Linked DNA regions of Coturnix japonica. The protein of the gene in region 2 purifies or fractionates together with the protein of the main gene of each other region. This does not show direct contact. Links are inferred from orthologs where the notes say so. Each region holds a gene or a part of one and is shown on either strand. Other genes may lie near its edges.

Region 1 (4,560 bases), on a different chromosome or scaffold from region 2:
GAGCTCGTTACCTGGCTGAGAAATACGAGTGGGACGTCGCCGAGGCCAGGAAGATCTGGTGCTTCGGACCTGACGGCACCGGGCCCAACATCCTGACTGACATCACCAAGGGAGTGCAGTACCTGAATGAGATCAAGGACAGCGTGGTGGCCGGCTTCCAGTGGGCGACCAAGGAGGTGGGGTGGTGTGAGTGAGTTAGTGCCTGTGTGGGTGTCAGCTTTGGAGCTGCTGCTCAGGCTGCCAGATGGGCTCAGTGCTGCCTGCAGCCGTGACTCAGAGGTGGGAGGAGCAGGATGAATGCTGCCTGGCCTGGTGCTGCCTCTCAACCTTCTTTTGCTCTCCAGGGTGTGCTGTGCGAGGAGAACATGCGTGGTGTCCGCTTCGATGTGCACGACGTGACCCTGCACGCTGACGCCATCCACCGTGGGGGTGGGCAGATCATCCCCACTGCCAGGAGGTGCCTCTATGCCTGTGTGCTCACGGCTCAGCCCAGGCTCATGGAGCCCATCTACCTTGTGGAAATCCAGGTAAGGAAAATCCAAGGAAATCCAAGGAAAGTGGAGTTGTGTTGTTTGCAGCCCCTGACCCCTCTGTCCCACAGTGCCCGGAGCAGGTGGTTGGTGGCATCTATGGCGTGCTGAACAGGAAGCGTGGGCACGTCTTTGAGGAATCCCAAGTGGCTGGAACCCCCATGTTTGTGGTCAAGGCCTTCCTGCCTGTCAACGAGTCCTTTGGTAAGTGTGTGCTGCCAGGAGCCCCATCACATCCCTGTGCTGTAAGGCCTGGAGCTGCCCTGGGGGGTGGGCTGTACATGGGGGTGCAGCTGTGGAGGGGGGGCTGCAGGACCCCGAGGGGCTGAGGCTCAGGGGGAGGCAGCTGGAGCTGTCAGACCCCGCATCCATCCCACTCAGCTCTGCTCTTCCCTCCAGGTTTCACAGCCGACCTGAGGTCCAACACTGGAGGCCAGGCCTTCCCGCAGTGTGTGTTTGACCACTGGCAGATCCTGCCCGGGGATCCCTTCGACAGCACCAGCCGCCCCTTCCAGGTGGTGGCCGAGACCCGCAAACGTAAGGGGCTGAAGGAGGGGATCCCGGCCCTGGATAACTTCCTGGACAAGCTGTAATCACCACCATCCCCATGTGCTGTCACTGCTGTGGGACTCAGCCTAAACACCATCCCAGCAGGCTCAAAGCGCAGTGACAGCTCTTTGCATTGTACTTAATCAGTTTCGTAGCGATTGGAGACTTATAACAAGAAAAAAAACCCCCACAAAACTGAACCGAACCAACCGAGCGCATTGATCCAGCCTTGGAGCTCTGTGTGTTGCACATCGTGGCCCATTGGGTGCCATTGTAACAATGAAAAGCGTTTCCACTCTGCTTCCATATTTATTTGACTTGAGGAATCTCTGCTTTATTGGGCTGGGGGAGAAGCTGAGGGCGGTGGGGGCTGCTCCCCCTTTATCTATGGGGGGGTTTAATGGAGCCCAATGGGGCCGGGGGGGGTTTGAAGGCAGGGAGCTGTTGTGTGTCATCGTCATCATGAGCATCAACCCGTGTATTAGTGCCACTGGAAGTAATAAATTTGATATGGTGATGATATGGCTCCTCCAACGTCGTGTCTCCTGCCGGACCCATCGCAGTGGGGTGTAGGGGTTCGATCACTGCGGGATCGATGCGGTATTGATGCGGGATCGATGCGGGATCGATGCGGGGCCGCCGGGATTCGAACCCGCGTCCTCAGCTCCGCCGGGGCGAGGCAGGGCGGCCCGATCCACGCATTCCAACATGACGTCACCCCCGTGGAGCCAATGGCAGCGCGCGAGGGGCGGGACATCTGGGATCTCGCAGCCAATAGCGGAGGAGAATGGGCGGAGCCGGCGGCTGTGCTGGAATGCGGCGGTGCGGGCGGGGGCGGCCCAGGTGGGGGAGCGGAGCGGGCGGGGGGTGCGGGATCGGAGCGGGATAAAGGGGGGGAGTGAGGGATCGGAGCGGGAATGAGCGGCTGATACCGGCCTGTAGGTGCTGAGAGGAGCGGGGGGAGCTGCCGGGCCGCCGCCATGTCCACCTTCCGGCAGGAGAACGTGGAGGAGTTCTACGAGATGGGGGAAGAGCTGGGCAGGTGAGAGGGGCGGGGGTGGGGGGTGGGATGGGGGTCGGGATGGGGTCGGGGTGGGGTCGGGATGGGGGTCGGGATGGGTCGGGATGGGTCGGGCCGTGTGTCCCGCAGCGCTGCGGGGTCTCCCGGTGCCGCCCCGCATTGATTCGGGCACGGCGCAGCGCTGCGGGTCCTTATATGGGACCGGGAGAACCGAGAGGGGACGGACGTCAGAGCGGGGAGGGGCTGCGGGGCTGCGTCCTCATCCACGGTGCCGGGGGGGGGTGAGCGACCCCGACCCCGACCCCATGGCCGAGAGATGGGGACGGGGTTGGGGTCCCACCGTGCTGCTCACGCAGGGCTCTATGGGGGCAGCTCAGCCCCCATATCAGTCCCTCCCCAGTCCCACACTGCGGGGCTGCCATCTCTCCCTCCTCCCCCAGCGGCCAATTCGCCATCGTGAGGAAATGCCGGGAGAGGAAAACGGGTCTGGAATACGCGGCCAAATTCATTAAGAAGAGACGATTATCATCGAGCCGCCGTGGGGTGAGCAGGGAGGAGATCGAGAGGGAGGTGGACATCCTGCGGGAGATCCAGCACCCCAACATCATCACCCTGCACGACATCTTCGAGAACAAGACGGACGTGGTGCTGATCCTGGAGCTGGTGTCGGGGGGGGAACTATTCGACTTCCTGGCTGAGAAGGAATCGCTGACGGAGGAGGAGGCCACGCAGTTCCTGAAGCAGATCCTGGACGGGGTGCATTACCTGCACTCCAAACGCATCGCACACTTTGACTTGAAGGTGGGGGGTCTATGGGTGTGGGTGGGAGCTATAGGGGCTCATTGGGGTGGGCAGATGTTGGTCAGCTGGGAGGCTGTCGGCCTTTTTGGACGCTGAGATGCTTTGCAGGTTTGTGGTTGTTCATTCATCATCTCTTGGTCAACTTCCATTGACCAACTACCACTGGTCAACTGTTGGCCAACCATCGGTCAGCTGGGACACTGCTGGCCTTCATGGCTGCTGGGACACAAAGCGTATGGTCAACTCTTGGTCAACTCTTGGTCAACTCTTGGTCAACTCTTGGCCTTTGTTGCTCTTGGCTCTTTGGCCAACCATTGGCCAACTGTTGGTCAATCGTTGGTCAACTGTTGGCCAACTCTGTGTCTGCTGGGACAACATTGGCTTTGGTGGCTGCTGGGCCGCACTTTTGGCTCTTGGTCAACCATTGGTCAACCATTGGCCAACCTTTGGTCTGCCAATGGGTCACCACTGGCCTTTGTGGCCATAAGGGAACACCATGTCTCATGGTCAACCTACAGCCAGCCATTGGCCAACCAAGACCCCGTTGGCCTTCTTGGCCACACATTGTAGCTGCCATGGTGTGCTGCTGGCTTGTGGAACACCTCATGTTCAGCACTGGGGTGAAGCACTGATCATCCTCCCCCCCTACAGCCAGAGAACATCATGCTGCTGGACAAGAACGTGCCCAACCCCCGCATCAAACTCATCGACTTCGGGATCGCCCACAAGATTGAAGCTGGGAATGAGTTCAAGAACATATTTGGGACGCCGGAGTTTGTGGGTGAGGCACAGTTTTGAACAGGGGGGGCTCAGAAATGTTGGCCTCATCCTGCAGGGATACCCCCAGGGGGGGTTATCTCCATGTGGGGCAGAGCTGGGTGCCCCATGAGTGTCCATACACAGGAGATGGATGCATTTGTGGGGACAGATATTTGTGTTTTCCCCTCCAGAATGAGTTTGTTGTCTCTCTTTTTCCTTCCTAAAGCACCTGAAATTGTGAACTACGAGCCGCTGGGGCTGGAGGCCGACATGTGGTGAGTGAGCCCCGGTGGGGGGTCAGGATGTCCCCCTCTGTCCCCTCTGTGCCATGTGGGGGGGACGCTGTGGGGCTCTGACCTCCTCTTTTCCCTTCCAGGAGCATTGGGGTCATCACTTACATCCTGTGAGTAGAGGGGCCGGGGGTGTGGGGTGCTGCAGGGGGTGGGGATGTGGGGCTGAGCATCCCCCCCATTGCTGCAGGCTGAGCGGGGCCTCCCCCTTCCTGGGGGAAACGAAGCAGGAGACCCTCACCAACATCTCTGCCGTCAACTACGACTTCGATGAGGAATACTTCAGCAGCACCAGCGAGTTGGCCAAGGACTTCATCCGCCGGCTGCTGGTCAAGGACCCCAAGTGAGGGTTGGGGTGCGGGTGTTGGGGGCTGACGTGGGTCAGACTGTGCCCCATATGGGTGTGGGGCATCTGTGGGGTCACCTGTGGCTGTAGTGGGTGGAAGGGAAGGAATGGGGTTGTGAGGAAGTGGTGGGTTGAGGGCTGAGCTGCACAGCCTGGCAGCCCACGAGCAGGGCCCCTGATTTTATGCCCCTCTGATCCCACCCCCCAATCCTGTCCCCTCTCTTCCTGTTCCCCCCATAACCCCGTATCTCCAACTCCATCCTC
Region 2 (3,805 bases):
TTCAAGCTTTCAAGTGACGCATCTGTGATTTCCTTTTCCTGGGGGGCAATGGCTCTTTTAGCCCTTCCCTCCAAGGGCTGTCGGTGCGATGCAGTCAAAGCATTTGCTGCTTCTTCTGCCTTAGAGCCAACAGAGTCCGACTCTGCTGCTGTGATGTGGCACCTGTATGCAGTGGCCACGCCATTGGGAGAGGCGCAGTGCCCCCTGCTTTGCTGTGTGTCCCCCATGGCATCGCTCACCTCACCCTGATTTGCCTTCAGCTTCTCAGCTAATGAAGCCACCGATTCCCCTCTACTTGACTTTTCATCCCGTGTGTCTGCACCAGTTTGGCAGCTGCCGCGAGTTGCCTGAGATGGTTTTTCAGCCTTGGATCTCAAGTCACTAACGGGTTTGGAAGGTGCTTTCCAAGATTTCTGCTCGTGAGCAGCAGGGGGGTAACGGCTGAGGACAGAGGGCTGCTCTTTGGATCTCTTCCCCTCATTCTGCGTGAAGGAAGATTCCTTCTGACCGGATGAAAAACTGGAAACCAAACATTTCTCTTCCAGTCTTTTCATATCTGTTGCAGTAGCATCTCCAAGGGCAGCTGCACCCGATGACTTTCCTGCTTTCCTGCTCATTAAGCTCGGGCTGGATGTCTGCTTACCACCATGGCCAGAGCTGTCATTGCTGAAGGAGAAATCTCTGTTTCTCACTCTTTCCCGGCGCTGCTGGGGCGAAACCTCCCTTGGTTTGTGCTTGGCAGCTGTGAAATCTGCTGCAACAACTCTGTATTTAGCTCTGTCATGTTTCCCCCTGCTAGAGAAACCTGCATCTTCATTTTCGACCTCTCCGTTTTCCAGATCTTTCTGTTTCTTTATCTGCATCTTTATTTCCTCTAATTGACCAGTGAGAAGTTTGTTTTTATTCTGCTCGCTCAAATAACTGTCTTGCAGGTCGTTGTTTTTGGCTCTCATTTTTTTAAGCTCTTCTTCTAAGGATTCAAAATGTTTGATCTGAGTTTTAAGCCTCTCGATTTCTTGGGTGAGATCTTTCACTTTGTTGTCTTCCTGATTTTTATTCTTTTGGTTTTCCGCTTTATTCCTGCTTTCGTTTTCTACATGTTTCAGGTAATCTACGCTTCCCTTCCGCCTGGTTTCTTTAGAGGGCAATGCAGAAGTCAAATCATCTTCAATTCTCAAATCATTTCTATCCAGGAGATTATTTGATGACCTTTCCAGCAGGTTGGATGAGTTTCTGGTCTGATCGGCCCTGTTCAGCTTATTGTTTTGCTCCAGTTTCAGTGTGAGCTCCTGGATTATTTTCTCATTCTGCTTTTCTCTCTCGTTGAAATGTTTTCTCTCACTGATAAAGCTCAGTGCCAAAGACTTCAGTTTCTCTAACTCACCCGTTAAGCTCTGCTCCGTTTTATCCATCCTTTCTTCGGATGCTTCGAGTTCTTTCACTTTCACTCGGAGCATTTCTAACTCCGTAGATATCTTTTTGGTCAAATTCCTTTCTTCGTTGAGGCTCAGACACAGCTGTGTGCAGTCGTTCTTGCTCCTGCCAAAGGCCTCCTCCAGTTTCTCCAGCTCTGCCATTCTCTTCTGCAGATGCTCAATTTCCGACTTCAGCTCTCGAGTCAGGCTCTCCTCCTCTTCGAGCTTTTCTTTCATTAACCTGCAAAGCTCTTCAGCCTTCTTAATTTCCTCATCCTTGCCTTCAATCTTTAACACTCTTTTCCTCAGGGCTTCGATGTCAGCCAGCATGCTGGAATTGCTGCCTTCTGCCTGGATCACTTTGTCCTGGAGCTCAAGCAGTTCATCCTCTGCTTTCTGGAGGTTTTTCGTTGCTTCCTCCAGTTCATCCAGGCGGCGACTAAGACTCTGCAACTTGAACCTCAGGTGCCGATTGGAGGTCTCCTTATACCCTGTAAATTCTGCCATGTTTATTTTCTGTTCCTCTGAGATGGGAGCTTGGCTGATTCCGAGTGCTTAACGCGTGTTCCTGGTTTGTAATACTTCCTTTGAAGAGAGGCAACTCAACCTGAAAGAAACAAAATGCTTAACGTGAATACGAGAGCTCAGAATACATGTTTTCTCACAGTATAATTTAACTGCAAATATTTATGTCTTATTTAAACATGTATCTGAGTGCCAGTTAGGGACAGCTGCTGCCAGCCAGCACTGCCCATCACTTCCAGTACCCATCACTTCCAGTACCCATCACTTCCAGTACCCCTCCTGCAGCCCACGTCACTCAGCATCCAGCATTACCTGAGCTGCAGCCACATCCTGAGGATGCTGTGTCATAAAGGTCTGAGTTTCTCCCTCCTCTTTCAGAAGCTGTCAGTGCCCTCAGCTGCCACCCACTCGTGCACCCAGCAGGCAGCAGCTGCAAGCACTCACGCTTTCTACTCCCTGTTGCCAGGGATAAAGAGCAGCAATTTCAACACATTGGCAAGAGGTGATGCAGTAAATGCAATTCTCTTCCCAGCTCAGAGCCGGCAGGGCAGGGTTAGTGAGAGCTGGGGACAATGTGAGTGGGCCAGGACAGCTGATGGAAGGACAAGAAGTCCCCTCTGACTGTGGGCATTAACACTGAGCCATCCTGGGCTTGAGATGGATCCCAACTATGCATTGCACGTACAAGAGCTTAGGTAAGCACACAGAATCATCAAACCAGAGAACAGATGGGTAAGAAGGGACCCCACAGCTGCCCCAACCCCTGCCATGGGTTGATTACCAGACCAGGCTGCCCAGGGCCCCCCTCTATGGCCTTGGGCACCTCCATATCTCTCTTGTACTGAACACAATACTCCAGATGGGGCCTCACAATGGCTGAGATTACAATCCCCTCCTGCCACTGCCACCCCTATGCCGATGCAGCCCAGGGTACTGTTGGCCTTCTGGTCTGAAGGGGAGGTGACTGCAGCTCTCAGACCCTGGCTCAGCAGTCTGCCTCCAAGCAGGACGTGGCTCCAGCATTTCTGCTGAAACTCCCCGCAGAGGAAACACTCCGGAGTTTCCTATTTCACAGTGCCAAGAGGTGAAGAGCAGGATGTGGGGAGGAGACAGCGCCGGGAAAGGAGACTGCAGTGCCCCAGTACAAAGCCTTTGATCGAAGCTGATTCATTTCCTGATGGGTAGAGGGGCCTGCAATGCAAACAGGGACCCACAGCACATAGCGGGCACCCACCACACACCCCGAGCACCTCCTGTGTGTAGCACACAGCCTGTAGTCCTTCTGCTGAGGGACAACTCAGACCACAAAGGCCACGTGGCCCACGGCTCTGCTGAGCGGCCGACTCCTTCAGTTGCAAACAGGAAAGGCTGCTCAGCTCCAGGCAGGATCCCAGCAAGAAACGTCACCGGAATGTCGCAGGAAAGGACAAAGCAATTTCACAGTGCCCTAAAAAACAACAAGTGTTCCCGGCGTGCCTTGGAGCAGGGAGTTAATGGTTAACGCCATGCCAGGAGCTGGTCAGGAAGCAGCTCAGGCTCAGCAGCCACTGTCAGGACATGGGCTTGGGTGATGGACTCCCAGCAGTGCCTACGTGTTGACCTGGAGCTGATGGGAGTCTCCAAGAGGGCACAGATTGCTGGGAAGGGACGTGCTACTGTAGGTGAGCCACCCTTAAACTGACTCAGTTCCTTTGTTAAACTGATTCAGTTCCTCGATGAGCTGGTTCCTGCAGAGCTCGGACCTCCTTCGGTCCAATTCTGCATTTGTTTCACCTGTATCCTCTCTTCTCTTCTAGTCTGTTCCTCTTCTGCTCTTCCATCTGACGGTATCCGCTGTTCTCCCTTTCTCCTCTTCTGCTTTTCTC

What was found.
Region 1: the proteins of LUZP1 (region 2) and DAPK3 purify together in Homo sapiens (affinity purification with mass spectrometry; 3 studies listed by BioGRID and IntAct, with this or other methods). This does not show direct contact. The link is inferred for Coturnix japonica from reciprocal best matches to the Homo sapiens genes LUZP1 and DAPK3.

The regions. Positions count from the first base shown.
Region 1 is NC_029543.1:799,261-803,820, forward strand, and holds the start of DAPK3 (death-associated protein kinase 3), read left to right. Parts: upstream 1-1,681; 5' UTR 1,682-1,696; coding exon 1,697-1,922; intron 1,923-2,021; coding exon 2,022-2,121; intron 2,122-2,540; coding exon 2,541-2,901; intron 2,902-3,552; coding exon 3,553-3,682; intron 3,683-3,886; coding exon 3,887-3,935; intron 3,936-4,036; coding exon 4,037-4,063; intron 4,064-4,140; coding exon 4,141-4,293; intron 4,294-4,560. Other genes in the region: EEF2 (elongation factor 2), read left to right, coding at 1-176, 345-527, 602-734, 930-1,123. UniProt on the Homo sapiens protein: Serine/threonine kinase which is involved in the regulation of apoptosis, autophagy, transcription, translation and actin cytoskeleton reorganization. Involved in the regulation of smooth muscle contraction.
Region 2 is NC_029538.1:1,523,099-1,526,903, reverse strand, and holds part of LUZP1 (leucine zipper protein 1), read right to left. Parts: intron 2,023-3,805; 5' UTR 1,923-2,022; coding exon 1-1,922.